Linked DNA regions of Mytilus edulis. The protein of the gene in region 1 purifies or fractionates together with the protein of each later gene. This does not show direct contact. Links are inferred from orthologs where the notes say so. Each region holds a gene or a part of one and is shown on either strand. Other genes may lie near its edges.

Region 1 (8,073 bases):
CTCTAAAAGTACTGCGCCAAATTTAACCATACTTGACCATAATCATCATTGAGGTATCTAGTTTTAAAAATGTGTGCGGGGAACCTTCCAACCAACCCAGATGGCCACCATGGCTAAAAATAGAACATAGGGGTAAAATGTAGATTTTGGTTTATAACTCTGAAACCAAAGCATTAAGAGCAATTCAGACATGTGGTTAAATTGTTTTGCAAGTCAAGATCTATCTGCCCTGAAATTTTTAGATGAATCCGACAACTGGTTGTTGGGTTGCTGCCCCTGAATTGGAAATTTTTAAGGAAATTTTGCTGTTTTTTTGGTTATTATCTATTCTTGAATATTATTATAGATAGAGATAAACTGTAAACAGCAATAATGTTCAGCAAAGTAAGATCCACAAATAAGTCAACAACACCAAAAAGGTCAGTTGACCCCTTAAGGAGTTATTGTCCTTTATAGTCAATTTTTAATAATTTTGTAAATTTTGTAAGTTTTTGTAAATTTTAACTGTAACTAATGGGCCAAGTTCATTTAAAATTGAGATAATTGTAAGAAGCAAGAATATTCAATAAAGTAAGATCTACAAACACGTCACCATCACCAAAACACAATTTTGTCATGAATCCATCTGTGTCCTTTGTTTAATATGCTCATGAACCAAGGTGAGTGACACAGGCTCTTAAGAGCCTGTATTAAGAGCCTGTAGTTATCTCCCCTGGTCCAAGGGACAGATTGACCTTTTATCATGACTTGTCATCATTAACGTTTACAAACTGATTTGCCGAATTTAACTTTGTGACAAACTCGGCCACTATCAGCATTAAAGTATCTTGTTTTGATATATCAGTCTGATGACCCCCACCTGCCAAACAAAATGGCCAAAATGGCTGAAAAAGAATATAGGGTTAAAAAGCAAGTTTAATCTATTATCGTGAAAACCACTGTAAGTAAACAAAAACTGACGGGGAAAAATGTTCAAAATGATTAGACCTACTAATTGTTCATCTACACCAAAACTATCTTGAAAATTATACTGTAGTTAAAGAGAAACTTTGAGAGCAAAACTTTTTTGCAAGACGAGATCTACTTCTATGATCTATTACAATTGACAAAAATCTTCAGATCATTTTTAGCTCACCGTTCCAATTGTGAGCTTTAGCCATCACTTGGCATCCGTCGATGTCCTTTGTTGGTTTCTTCATCCGTCTGGTGTAAACTTATTTCAAACATCTTCTCCTCTGAATCTACCAAACAAATTCAAACCAAACTTTAGCTGAATGATCCTTAGGGTATCTAGAATAAAAATGTGTTTTATTTTCTGTTTCGTCAAAAAACATGTCCGCCATGTCTAAAAATAGAACATAGTCGTAAAATGCTGTTTTTGGCTTATATCTCAAAAACCAAAGCAGTTAGAGCAAATCTGACAGGAGGTAAAAGTGTTCTTACGGTAACGTTCTATCAGCCCTGAAATTTTCAGATGAATCTAAGAACATTGTTGGGGTTGCCACTAAATTGGTAATTTTAAGGAAATTTTGCAGTTTTTTGTTATTTTTTTGAATAGTATTAATGATAAAGATGAACTGTAAACATGCAGCAAAAATGTCCAGCAAAGTACGATCTACAAATAAGTTCATACTAGAACACACCCGCGAAATCGCGGGCATTCAGAGCGTAGTTTAAAGTATGTAAAGTGTTGTTGGAAGAATTTTGTAAAATATTGAATGACTGGAGAATTTCAGCAAAAGTATCATATATCATATATGATAGGTTATTTGGGACAGGAAAATACTTTTTTTTTTATCCCTCCTCCTTTATTTCCAAAATTCCCAATTTTTGGTTTTCTATCAATTTCAATATGAACATAGTTTTCATTTAGTATATTATGAACATTTAAGTAAGGAGCCTGTAATTCAGTGGTTGTCGTTTGTTTATGTGTTACATATTTGTTTTTCGTTCACTTTTTGTACATAAATAAGGCCGCTAGTTTTCTGGTTTGAATTGTTTTACATTGTCAGTTCGGGGCCTTTTGAAGCTGAGTATGCGGTATGGGCTTTGCTCGTTGTTGAAGGTCGTACGGTGACCTATAGTTGTTAATTTCTGTGTCATATTGGTCTCTTGTGGAGAGTTGTCTCATTGCCATGTTGAGACAACTCTCCACAAGAGACCAATTTATACCATCATGAAATATATGAGAAGAACATAACCCGTGTTATGCCAACAACTGGTTTTAGAATATGTGTTTAATGCCGATGCAAAGACCCTATAAGTGAATCAATATTAAAGCCAAAATTCGCAGTCTTTAATCACCTTGACAACAGTATCGTAGTTACTATAGCCCTTTTTAAAAAGTCTGTTTAAAGGTTTTGTTAGCTGACTAGTATATTAGACACGAATGAAAGCGTATTCGGCTGATGGTGGGGTGTTCTAAAACTTCTGTAGTTTTTTTTTAACTCATACGAAATATGGTACATGGAGTAATGCTTTGATAATGGTTGGCTAGCTGACATTGTGGCTCTAGTGAGTATCACTTTTTCCAAACGACCAATACTGCAGGAAATCGTACAACACAATCATATTACATTTCATTTTTAAAACACATTGCATGACAGTTCCACTGAACTCATTAGAATGATTTTTATAGTAGTATTTGTTTTTGTTTTTGTTGTTGTATATATGTATAAAATAGAGAATGGAAATGGCAGGGACTTTCTATACTAATATTTATAGACAGTCCCTGAAATGGGGAATATGTCAGAGACAAAAACCCCACCAAAGAACAATTACAGCCAAAGGCTAAATAATGTTTATCATTTTGCGTATTAACATGCCACAGATCAATCGACTAGCATATATGTATGTGCCCGTACTAATTAAGTCAGGAGCCATTTCTGTGTCATTGGTTTGGTGCACGTTAAATTAAACAGATAAAAGTAAGAGGAACATAAGTTTTTATACTCTATAACCGGACAAAAAAAATGATTCACCAGTTTCACAATCTGATAATTTACTAGTAAAATGCCGACAGATCATGTGTCCAAGCTATGCCCCTTTAAACGTAATAAAGCTTGAGCAAAGTTCGGATCAGTTTTTTTTCGCTAAGAATTTACGTATCACTACTGAAAATAATGCTTTTTAGAAGGTAAATATTTGAATCTTTAATGCAGGACAACTCTCGGTTTTACCAGTAATGGTATTCTGCATTATATTACTCTATGGTATATACATTCCATGATACAAGTGCAAGTTCTGAATATCTTTTAACTTGAAAAGTTAAGCAGGGTAAATTGAAATTAAGATACTTAGCCCTGATGATGATGAAGAGATTCAATGTCTCAATCTTGTTTAAAACATGTTTCAACAATCGAACTCCCGTGTCATATGATAAAATTATAGTGTGCCCTTGTACACCAAGTCATCGAAAGAGAAAACAAAATCTGCAGAAGCAGTATATCACCATATAAAATGAAGTTTTCATGTAATATCAGGCCTCGGTAATATTTATTTTTTTGGGAATTCTCGGAAAATCGTGGTCCAGTTGTAGAATGCTAACTAACAAATTAGATTGAAGAACATACTGATTGATCTCTTCTACATATGTAAGACACGTTTTTGATGAGCAAAAAATATGAGCACGTCCAACGCGTTTATTACCTTTAAAAGTACGAAAGGAATCATTCAATTCATAAAATTAGATTATTGTATAGCCATATGAAGTCGTTTGGTTTTACAATGCATCGTTTAAATGTTGGCATACTGTTACATGTATGTATGATAAATTATACGGACCATTCATTAAATTGTAAAGAAAGATGCAATTTGCCCGCTTAAATCACTAATACTAAAGGGACACTGTCTAGCTACGGGATATATAAAAAAATGAACTATGATTTTTTTTGGTGTTTAATCATTAATGAAACTGAAATAGTGAAATAATAATTCGCTTTTGACAGTCAGTATGGTTCATTTTTCAAAATAAGCTAAGAAACATTGATGATGAATTATGCACTTGCACAGTGGCGGATGCAGGAATTTTCGAAAGGGGGGTGCTAGCCCAGGGCAAAAGGGGGGGGGGGGGGGGTGCAGGGGGGGTGCAAACATATGTCCCGATTCAAATGCATTGATCGGCCAAAATAAAGGGGGGGTGCGGACCCCCGGAACCCCCCCCCCCCCCCTCTGGATCCGCCACTGTTGCAAGTGCATAATCGACATCATTGAATCATTTTTAATCACAATATCTATTTATATCTATAATTATGTTTATATGGCTTATATGGTCATCAGAGGATGTCGATGGTCAACTCGATAGTAGATGACGTCTCAGTAGACCCGGCGTAAACTACAATTGAAACGAAGCTATATAATTGAGCCCAAGCCCTGTAAAATTGTAAAATTTTATACTTTTTATAATTTGTATCATGTTTTACATTGTTATAATCAAATATGAGAATTTGTCAGGTAGTGCCCTATAAACACAGAATATATCATTATATGCGTTAAAAAAATGTTTTAAATAGGGTCTGTATTATCCTACATTGTATAAACATTTTATTATGGTATTTAGTCAGTTCGGAAAAATGAAATTCTTCGTCATTAGAGTGTTTTAACGGGCACATGAACGTTCCATATTCATAGATAAAATTTGACATCGAACCAACCAAAACGTTTAATTTGTAAAAAAATATATAGTTGATTTCTAATAAAACAAGAGACAAAATGGCCATGATAACAGACCAGAGATTGAAAGAGATGGAAGAGGAAATGAGTCGGTAATAACCAAAATAAAAAAAATGTCATAATATCCCTACATACGTAGTACATTTTATACAGAACCACAATGTCATGTACACAGTCTACTTCTACTTCTACCAGATACTGAACGAACTGGTTTTTCTACTACGCCTTTCGGGTAAAAAAGAACCCTCCACCCTCGCTCATAATGTTCTGATCTACATCCCTAGTTCAAGTAGTTAACGCTGTTAATGTTAGAGACTAATTTAAAATGCAGTTTCTGTGTGAGTAGTCAAATAGACGTATTTACACTTGTATGCAAATTTGTCCGCCATTACATTAAACCACACAGGTTCCTGTAAACTTTGACATCATAATTCAAAACATTTGACGTCACAACTAAAAAGTGATTGTTGTTTGACGTCAGAAGGTTATTTCGGAGGTGATATTAGGTCATTCAGAGGCAAAATACAGCTAAATACCAAAAGTGTAAATACGTTTATTGGCATTCCTAGGCTACATGTCCACATCTGGTTTTATAATAAAATGTCATAAGATCAGGAATGTAACATAAAATATTCATGGGAATTAATGGTAAAGCACTGTCAGATCAGAAAGGATGTGGGCCATGTGCCAATTTAGCTTATCAACCAGAAATGGCGCATAGAGTGACAAATGTAAGCGCCCATGTGACACACAATATTTTTCACTTTGTTTCAATATGTTTAGATATCATCAAATGGATTTCCGATCATGTTTCATGTTGCCATGTGTGTGTACACAACTGTGTAGTGTTTCCTCCAATGATAGGAGCACCTATATATTTTTGGGACGTCCGGGTGTTTTCCTATTGTAATATAGCAACATGCGGTATAACTGATTACCCCACAAACATAATGAACCATCATTCATGATATACAGTGTTCTAGCCAGGATTTGAAAAGGGCAGGGTGCTAGTAAGAAAAAGGGCAATTTTACGTGCAAATGTCATTGAAAAAGTGCAATTTTTCATGTTAATTAATGTCACTGAAAAAAAGGCAATTATTTTAGCCTAATAATTAATTAACACATAACTTTTATTTTGCATTCTTTTAAATTCAAGTTTCAGTAAAAATATATTTCAATTCTTTTGGCACAATTTTACATGGTTGACTTCATAAATCATGATCATGATGATGCTGAGACCCTTTTAGGAAGCTGTTTCCTTCATATTACATAGTTGCTGTTACAATACTAGTCTCACCAAGTATATTGTGATTTTTTTTATACTTCATCTGCTAATAAGGAACGTCTGGAATAAATATGGTATCTATGAATTTGGAAAAGAAAATAACATGTACATTACGAAAATATTTTTTTTAGAAAAATGAAAAAAAAGAAACTGAAATTTTAAAATATCTAAAAGGAGGGAAAATAAAGCTTGAATGTATTCATAAATTAAAGAAGCTATTAGTATTAAAGTTGATATAGATCTCCTTTATATCATGATTCCATGAATGATTTACACTAGAAAAAAGAGTATTCAACAGAAATTAAATAAAAAACTTGACTAAGGAATGAAAAGCAGCAAATCCAATTTAAAATTATAAATAAAAAAATATACCCTTTTCCTCTCCAAATTTGTCTGGAATTTTCTACCTAAAAAGAAATTAAGTCTCTCAAACTATGATTTTTCTTTGGATTTTTTTTGTTTTAATGCACAATTGATTCAGTTTCCTTTATACAAATGTATGTAGTTATTTGACTGATAAAATTTGATTCTGGTATAAGTTTTTAAAGAATAATTTCAATAAATTATAAGTTTTAAATGTCTTCCCCTCATATACATATATCACAATATTCCATTTTAAGAATATTTATTTAACAGAGAAAAAAACTGTTCACTTACTATATAATTATTTATAAAAACTTGAGAGTCTGGATTCAATCCATTTATTCCCTTATTGCGATGATTTCTGTGTATATTTCATGTTTCATGTGCCATTAGATGGCATTTTGGATGTGGGGACATGTAGTCTACTAATGCCAATTTGACTACTGGTGCTCTCATGTGGGGTTGGGCAGACACTGCCAAAATAAAAATGTTATAATAATAGAAAATACTATCACATTCAAATACATCAATCTGTGACCAGAATATCCATCCCCTACCTATATTCATCCAGATTTATTTTAGCCTTAACAAGCTACAATGTAAGCAAGGTTTTATGTACTTTTGTCTGTTAAACTTCAAGTCTTTGTTTTAAATTAACTACATGTATCTGTAAATATTTTTCTGGTCTAGCTGACTTTGAGATAACAACAGTCGAATGTATATTAAAAAACAAAAAAAACAAAAAAAATGTTATGCATACCAAAGATTTGTGTATAGCACTATACACATCCTTCAAATAATATGAGGCTTTTGATTTGTGATGACTTGTACAGCTTTGTGATTTGTTGAGTAAACATTTCTATTCTTTTTGCATAAATAGTGTTTTTTTTATATGAAATTCCCCTACAGTGCAATGAATTCAGTTCAACAATTCTGAATATGATATTTGACTTTAAGTTGACACACTTAAGTTGTCTTTTACAGATTTGAACAAGAAATATTGGCTCCAAAAGGTCAGGGTTCTAAGCCGCATCCTATGATAATAGGATCAAGAACATTCACCAATGTTCAAGCCAGGATATCATCAGATCCTCCTTCTGTTGGGCAACCCCCTCCTCCACCCTTGAGAAAACCACCCACAGCTCCACCTGGTAGTAAGCCTGCAGGACCACCATCAGTTTCCTTGCCAGCTTCAGGTATGTATACTTTACCGTTCTGTACCTCTTCAACATGTATTCCTGATTGTATTTTATGCTTATTTTGGATTCTGTTTATATAAGGGTATATGCAATTACAAATGGTCTTGTTTAACTTATTCATTCCTGCTCGGTTGCTACTGTAACAGGTCAAATATACATACATGTATATAATTAAGGTTAATAGCTATTTAAGGAATTACTGTAATATTTTTTCTGTCTTTGAAGAAATAACTTTAAAAAAATGTGGTGCACACTGAATATACACAGGTTATTTTATAGTGTGAACTTTTTATGTTATTTCGAATAAAAAGAAAAAATATTACAGTCATTTCTTCTAATTTAATTCTAAATTCAATTTTTAACCAGAGTAAACCATGAAAAAACGTTGATGATGCTACGGTCACATGACAAAATTATGTCTATGAGCTGATAAACAAAACAACTTCAGCCAATCAGAAGATGTGTTACATCCATAATTTAATTATATCTCTATAACATGTAAATATTCAATGAATAGCCTGGGAAAAAGAATAAATTTTATTTCATAGAGTCCCG
Region 2 (8,267 bases), on another chromosome or scaffold:
TAGTTATCAAAGTTTTCAGGAATAAATATAAAATAGTTATAAAGCCAAACAAGTACAAAATTGAAGAGCATTAAGGATCCAAAATTCCAAAAAGTTGTGCCCAATACGGCTAAGGTAATATATGCTTTGGATAAAAAAAATCCTTAGTTTTCCAAAAAAATCAAAGTTTTGTAAACAGGAAATTTATAAAAATGACCAAGTGATTGATATTCATGTCAACAGAGACGTGCTGACTACTGGACTGTGATACCCTCGGGCACAAAATTCAGGGTTCAAACCGAATGTCACAAATGCTCAGGGTACAAACCAACTGCATGAAACAAAGGCTCAAAGCACAGCATGACTGGGACAAATGTTCGAGGTACATTCAAGGTACAAAACGACTGGGACAAATGTTCAGGATACAGACCGAATGTCACAATGTTCAGGGTACAAACCGAATGTCACAAATGCTTAGGGAACAAAACGACTGGGACAAATGCCAAAGGTACAAAACGACTGCATGGAACAAATGCTCAAATCAAGCATGACTGGGACAAATATTCAAGGTACAAAACAACTAGGACAAAAGCTCAGGGTACAAAACGACTGGAACGAATGGTCAAGGTACATAAATTTAAGACTAGAACCAATACTTTATGTACAATTGCTGAAGGTACAACACGACTTGGACAAATGTTCGGTGTACAAAACGACTGGAACAAATGTTCAAGGTATAAACTGGCACAAATGTTCCAAGTACAAAACGACTTGGTACTACATTCGATCAATGTATTAGTCCCAAAAAATGAGGATAACAAAAAAACACTGACCTACCCTATAATCATTTGTTTAACGGTTTTAATATGTTTCTGATATAAGACTGTGTAATGTTATATAAAAAAAAAAGGAGATGTGGTTTAATATGAAATTAAGGAAGGTGGTGTGATATACAAACAGGAGAAGTGGTAGGATGGCCTATGTGACAACTATATCCAACAGAGTACAACAAAGTGTATTTAAGCATGCATTCAAATATGAATATGTAGGTCACCATAGTTGATGCGACCTTCAAAACCATGTTGTAAAGTCTGCTATAAAAGGCCCCGACATGACAAAATGTGAATAATTTCAAACGGGGGGAAAACGAACAGATTTATAACCAAACTAATAAACGAAAAAATATTTTCTTTGGTATTTATTTTTAGCTTTTCTGATCGGATCCTATGAAGCCCTATGAAAGGTGGTGTTGCAAGTTTTATATCCTTTTTTAATGCAAGCATGTATATTGTGTAATCGTGATGCTAAAAATAATTTTAGTGAGCCTAATGTTTGAGTGTGTGCAATAACGGGCATGTAATTGTTAACATTTCAGAATTTTGTAATCTTTTGTTAGTAATCCGAACAGATACCCTGCGAACTGCGTGTTCAAAGGAATAAATGTACACCACACACTTGACAAAAAACTCCAGAACAATAACGGTTCAGCTAACTATATCTTCCATTGTCCTTGGCCTATCCTGCTTAATCACTCGTAAACCTTACTTAGTCATACAAAGGCCATTCAAAAATACACAAATATTACTTGATATTTTACTTCAATATTTTAGTTAGTAAAATATCATAAACCTCCAGCCTAAAATCAATTCAATGTTCTTCCATTTCAACTTTTTATACGAACATCCAGTAAACCAACTAACTTTAAGATTCTGTTTACCGAACCATGAGTCATTAGAATTGAACTAAATCTGCACAATTATAAATATAAAAAGATCAAATAAAAAGGTAAACTAAAAAGAAAGCCGAAAAACTAAACAGAATGTGAAATTGCAGTAATATCAGTTCAACAAAATAACGGAGTTTTATTTGCTTTCCAGTTGACTGGGCTACGACCTATTTATAAATTGGTTTATTAAACAATCCAACTTTTCAAACTTCAATAAATATTGACCAACAGTATTGCATAACATCTTGTCGAGAACAAATTCTGTAATACAGGTAGTTATATTCCACGAAACTACGTCACCTGTAAAACATTTCCACGAAATTACGGTTCATTTCGCAAGAAGAAATGGCTCAGTACAATAGCCCTGATGAAATTAAAATTATTTTCATACTTTATTTACCTATTAGTGTTGTAACAGTATAGACACATTTTAATTGATTGCTAACAGTAAAATCATGTATCCCGTTAAGAGTACAATTATACGCTATTATAAAGAGCTTCGGGGCTATACACATAAGCTATCTATTTAGGGGGGAAAGATAGAAAGTCCACGACTCCGAATACATGAAAATAGTTTTTAAAAACCAACAACACAAGAATACAAACTTATGTTGTCTTCGTCTTAGTCCGGTGTTTTAGGTGTCCGTTTTATATACGTTTAAGACGTTTTGCTACCTAAAGCATCAAAACCAGAATACACTGAAATGGTTAATGGAAGCAAAAATATACTTTAGAATCCCAAAGGGAGAGCAGGGATACAATGTAAGCTTTCGTGGTGTTTTTTTCACATCTCTTGAATGAAAATAAAATGTATCTTGAAAATGTTCGACTGTCTAAAGTATAATAAATGGACATTTCATATGACATTTTGTACCTATTAAAGAGACAATGTTTTGTAGTTTGGGCAACCTCAAAGACTAAAGATACATGTACAGTGTACCTACGGTTTCTTATATCAAGTTATTAGTCTTTCAAAATGCCTAATGGGTCTCAATAACACAAGAGGCAAATATCGAAGGCATTGTCATATGCTGATTTTGTTCTGTTTAATTATTTAGGGTAATGTAATTTTTTTTTCTTCACTGGATCAAACTTTTGAAAGTTACAATAAAAAATAACAAGGTCCTAGTATTGCCCACTTTCAAATTCGTTTTTCATCGGCAATAAATAAAACAGACGGTCAGATGAGGAAAACACATAGTATAAGAATGTTCACCCCTCCCCCTTTCCCGTCGACATCTATTATTTTATATATAGTATAAAACATCGTGTGGGACTAGTGATCACGGGTTAAAACTGACGAAATGGAACAAGTTTTGACAATCAAAAAGTATAACATGCTCGGTATGTTTAAAATATGCTGACAACATACGGATCTTATTTGTGTATTGGTCTGTGACCAGCCTTCCGGGTATATATGATGTAGAATTTATAAATAGCTTGATGAGGGAATACCCTTTTACTCCAATAAAAACTTTTAAATGGACCTTCTCGGCTGCTGAAAACAAAATTAAAAGGTATAATAATAGGATTTAAATGTCTTTACACGTGCTCTAAAATTTAAATGTCTCTGAAAGTGCAACTTTCGGTTTAAAAAGATATTGAGCATTTAAATTTTTATTTGTACCTCAAAACATACGGTGATAAATTTAAATGTCCCAAATGATGAATTTAAAGGCTTGAAATATTGAAAATTTCTAACATTTGTTGGGTAGAATTTGGTGAAAGAAAGACTAAGTACGGGAGTGAAAAATAACACCACTAAAATCAGGTAAGACGATTTACACAGGTAAAATCCGTGATCAATATAGGTGTAATACTGGGACGCGTTCAAACACATCTCTTGTCTTTGTAAATAGGTATTTTGTGTTGTGTTTGTTTATTTCGTTGTTGCTAAAGAAACCCGTTACAAATGGATTGAGACAAAGTGCTCTTTAGTGGTTTAACATGCGTGTAACGGGACCTCGACCATGACGAAAAGAAAGGGGCGGGACTTTGTTAAAAACCCAGGTAGCATGTTAAAGCTTGAAGATAATGGTGTACTGTTTGATCTCCTATTACCTGTCTGCTTGACGACACAGTGGATCAACGATTGATCGATCGGCCATTTAAATATCACCCCAATTAAATTTTGATTGGAAATATTCGTACATGTAGTAGATTTAAATTGGAGGTTTAAATGTCTGCAACAAATATAGATGTAAACAAAGATTAATATTAATAACATTACAACGTGGTTTGCACTTCACAAATATTATATTCCTGATTCTACTTTTCATTTCATTACCTGTCAACCTTTTACCGTATTAAATTACATTTGTTACATAACTTCAACTGTACATGTTTATACTTAAATGGTCGATCAATGTACCGTAACTATTCCAACTGTAGCAATTGAATAATTTCCAATCAGTACCCTCTTCTGAAAACATTGATGTTTATGGTAACAATAAATTTAAATTCCATGGAACTGTCAAATAGTTGCTTTGAAAGTCAAGATTTTTTCTGATTTCAAAAGTTTGACACTTTTTGGTTAGTATATAAATAGTCAATTATCAACATATAGGATACAAATTTTTTTTTCAATGAGTAAAATAAAATAAATACTGACCTGTATGCGTTCTCATATGAGCTTGGAGAGATTTTTCTCGAGGAAAAACCCGATTACACACATGACAACGTATTCCACTATGGGACACTGCACCTTTGAAGATCAATGAAGTGATTAGCTCGGCCCTCGGACGTCCTCTCTTCATATAATCTTCCAAATCAGCTGAATCTTCATCAGGGGAATTCCTATCCATATTTGATGCTGGTTCAATTATAGATTCTGGTTTACTTTCATCTTTAAATCCCCACGACGGCATGGTTAAATCACTTCTTTACCTTTCGTTGTGTCACCCTTGTTCATAGGTATTTAATTCTTACCTGTATAAACCCGTTATCGTGCCAACTGAACTCCACCAATCGGGTATGTGGTATAAAAATAGATTTAAAAAAAGGATTTCGTGGTTTCCCCGTCGTTGCTATGCATTGTGGGATATAAATTACAATTTCTTAAAAACACTTTAGTTATAGGCTGAATTATAATATGCATGAAGACTTTAGTTATTCAATGTACTCTTAAATGTTTAAACTGCGAGAAAACTAGTGGCAAAACAGAGGCTATAAAATTTCTATGACTTACTCCCGCCAAATTTCTAAATATGGAACTTGAAAACAACCTTGAACTGTCGAGACTCTCGGGTTTTTATGTTACAACTAAGGAAGGATTTTTCCTCCGAATATTCTAATTCCAAAGCATGCTCATACTGTCTGGAGAGAAACACGCCATTTTGTAGCACCTTAAAAAGTAAGGCCGTAAAAATCCATTGCCATCCTCAGCATCAAGAGGAACAATGGACTCGCAATACGGCATAGCAGTGACTAATAAGTTCTGTCTTTTTGACGACGATGATGATGTCGATCCATATGAAATCCTGAAGCAAGAGGAACAGAAGAGAACCGAGGCTTTAGCGAAGGAGAAAGCTGACAAGTCCAAACCAACTAAAAAGACAAAAAAGACAGCACCACAAACTGATAACAAGACTAAATTGACAGAGCAAAACACACAAAAGAAAGAAGGTAATAATTCTATCGTGCAGAAATGATTATTTGCATTGTCTTGATTGTTTATTAGGTAACCCGTTTGACATTTGTTCACAGATAACACGCTTGAAGTCCAAAATACTTCGTTATATTTGTTTCCCCCCTCCACATTCACGTGTATATGTATGAAAACTGGTTACCATCTGTACCAGATGATAAATATATATTTTGCAATGATGTTGAAGTTATGTTTATCATGTGGTCTTGACCATGTTTGGTTATGTAGTTTACTAGTTATGTTCCACCATGTTTTCTGATCCTGAACCTACTTCTATTATATTAAGGACAGTCTTGCAGGGAAATACGGTTGTATGCAACTTAAGGTGGGGTACAAAACAAATGAAGGTTTTTGTAGTTTTTGGTTGTAAATACTGTGACGCAACATGGTAAAAAAATATTGCAATTGATTAAACATGCAACTCTTCTGATCAGCTGCTTCTGATGCAGATATAGATTTTATAAATTTAGCTATTTTTGATTGTCTAAATTGCTAAATCTCTGTTAAATGAACTGATGGACAAGAAACCAGCTTTTGCGAAAGACCACAAAAAAAATGAAATTTATATTAGAACTGCCAGAAAACTGCACTTACATTACCAGCTTTTCAGTCACATGTAGCGGGGTTGCTTCCCCTTAGTACAGGTAGAACATATATAGCCAGTCTTAATCAACTGAGCTAGGGAATCGATTCTTTGGCTCAGTGGGTTAACGCACTGACTGTCACCCAGACGACCGGGGTTCGAATCCCGGTGGTGACGATTCGATACGATACGTGCTCTCCGGTTACATTGGCGCCCAACTAAAAAAATCCACGATGGTTATCTGGAGTATAGCCAGGGTTTGTGTTGTTAAGAGTCATATATGAAGATATGATGACTCTTGTGGTGGGGGAATAGTGTAGCGGGGTTGCTTCCCCTTAGTACAGGTAGAACATATATAGCCAGTCTTAATCAACTGAGCTAGGGAATCGATTCTTTGGCTCAGTGGGTTAACGCACTGACTGTCACCCAGACGACCGGGGTTCGAATCCCGGTGGTGACGATTCGATACGATACGTGCTCTCCGGTTACACACACAAACAAAAAATAGTTGAGTGAGATCAAATTATATTTGTAAGTAAATTTGCATTATACTACAACAAAACCATTATAGTTGTGGGCTAAACTGTTTAAAAACAAAAATGAGAGTAAAGTAAAAAAAAACAATTCTTTTCCAAATTGCATTTTTATGCCTCATTTATGGGCATTATGTTTTCTGGTCTGCGTCCGTTTGTCACGTTTCAGGTTAAGTTTTTTGGTCGAGGTAGTTTTTGATGAAGTTGAAGAGAAATCAACTTGAAACTTAGTACACATGTTCCCTATGATATTATCTTTCTAATTTTAATGCCTAAATGGGGATTCCCATTTTCACGGTCCACTGAACATAGAAAATGATGGTGCGATCCGTGTACTGGGGACAGTTTAAGGAAGAATTTTAGTAATTTTGTTTCCACTCTACCACACATGTATCCAGTACTATTCATGCAATGTGTAAGCTAAGAGGAAGTTTTTTGTTGATTTGAATTTGAGCTTTAGACCCATAGTTATAAAAGAGGGACGAAAGATACCAAAGGGACAGTCAAACTCATAAATCTAAAACTGACAACGCCATGACTAAAAAAAGACAACTTTGTTTATGGTATTGGTGGGCACACAAACAAAAGAAAGTAACTATGTAGGAATACCTTTAATAGATAATTCATTTCAACCAGGCCTAATAAAAAAAATTGAGCCTTATAATGGAAAAAATTTACAAGATCCCCTATTCTTGGGATTGTTCATTTTGAAATTTCAGAATTTATCATTGTATGTTTTATAAGACAGTATTTATTACAATTACAGAAAAGGTGGTCCCATCCCAAGCGAGGACTCAGCAAAATGAAAGGCCTCCAAGGAGTGCTAGACAGAACAGAGAAAATAGAGAACCAAGGGAAGACAGACGGCCAAGAAGACCTGAAGAAAACTCATCTATGACTAATGAACCAAGGTATAAGAAATAGATTATTATCGTTGATCATCTCATCATCGAGATTGATTTTCTCACTTAAGTCTGTATAGCGAAATTTAGAAAATCAATCAAGTTGAGATGACCAATTATAATCTGTTAGTCGCTATTTAACCTATGAGGTCAGAGGATGTTGTTAATTTCGTTGACAACAGGCATATATACTCCCTTAAATTCTAGCCATAATTTTTCATATCGCTCGACTCCATTGGAAGGAAATTATCAGTCAGTAAGATAAAAGAATATTTAGTATTATTGTATAGCAATATATTATTTCCAACAGAAAGTAACCAAAAGTTAGCGTGCAATAAATTTTAACATTGCACTAGTGCAATAAGTCTTCAAAATTCGTGACGTCATCAACGACAAAATCTTAGTTTAAACCAATTTTTACTTTAAATATTATATTGCTATACAATAAAAGGATTATTGCATGAATATTGGGGAATATCGTCCCTCGTAGAACATATATTGCACTCGCAAGCTCGTGCAATATAAAATTCTACTCGGGACAATATTCCCCATTATTCATGCAATAACCCTATAAAATAGCAATAATCAATTTTATTATAAATTCAATTGGGGATAAAAATCATCCAGACAGAATAAATATCATTTTTCACATTAATCATTGACTGATGATCAAATATATGACAAAATACCAACATGTAAGATGATGTAAACACTCTGGAAATATTTCTTGACACGATGCCCACTGTTGTATCCGAGAACAATATTTTTACAAGTTTCCTGATTTGGGAAATATATTTCAATTGTACCAATCAGCAATTCTGTCCTTTTTTTTTTCTTCTGATATGCCACATGTGGAGCTAGTTTTACTTACCCATCCTGAGACCCGATATCACCCCTG

What was found.
Region 2: the proteins of RNA-binding protein 42-like (region 1) and SERPINE1 mRNA-binding protein 1-like purify together in Homo sapiens (affinity purification with mass spectrometry; 3 studies listed by BioGRID and IntAct, with this or other methods). This does not show direct contact. The link is inferred for Mytilus edulis from reciprocal best matches to the Homo sapiens genes RBM42 and SERBP1.

What each region holds. Positions count from the first base shown.
Region 1 is NC_092348.1:78,619,840-78,627,912, reverse strand, and holds the start of RNA-binding protein 42-like, read left to right. Parts: upstream 1-4,605; 5' UTR 4,606-4,710; coding exon 4,711-4,763; intron 4,764-7,303; coding exon 7,304-7,515; intron 7,516-8,073. UniProt on the Homo sapiens protein: Binds (via the RRM domain) to the 3'-untranslated region (UTR) of CDKN1A mRNA.
Region 2 is NC_092344.1:122,518,005-122,526,271, reverse strand, and holds the start of SERPINE1 mRNA-binding protein 1-like, read left to right. Parts: upstream 1-4,689; 5' UTR 4,690-5,103; coding exon 5,104-5,329; intron 5,330-7,233; coding exon 7,234-7,378; intron 7,379-8,267. Other genes in the region: uncharacterized protein, read right to left, coding at 4,317-4,572. UniProt on the Homo sapiens protein: Ribosome-binding protein that promotes ribosome hibernation, a process during which ribosomes are stabilized in an inactive state and preserved from proteasomal degradation.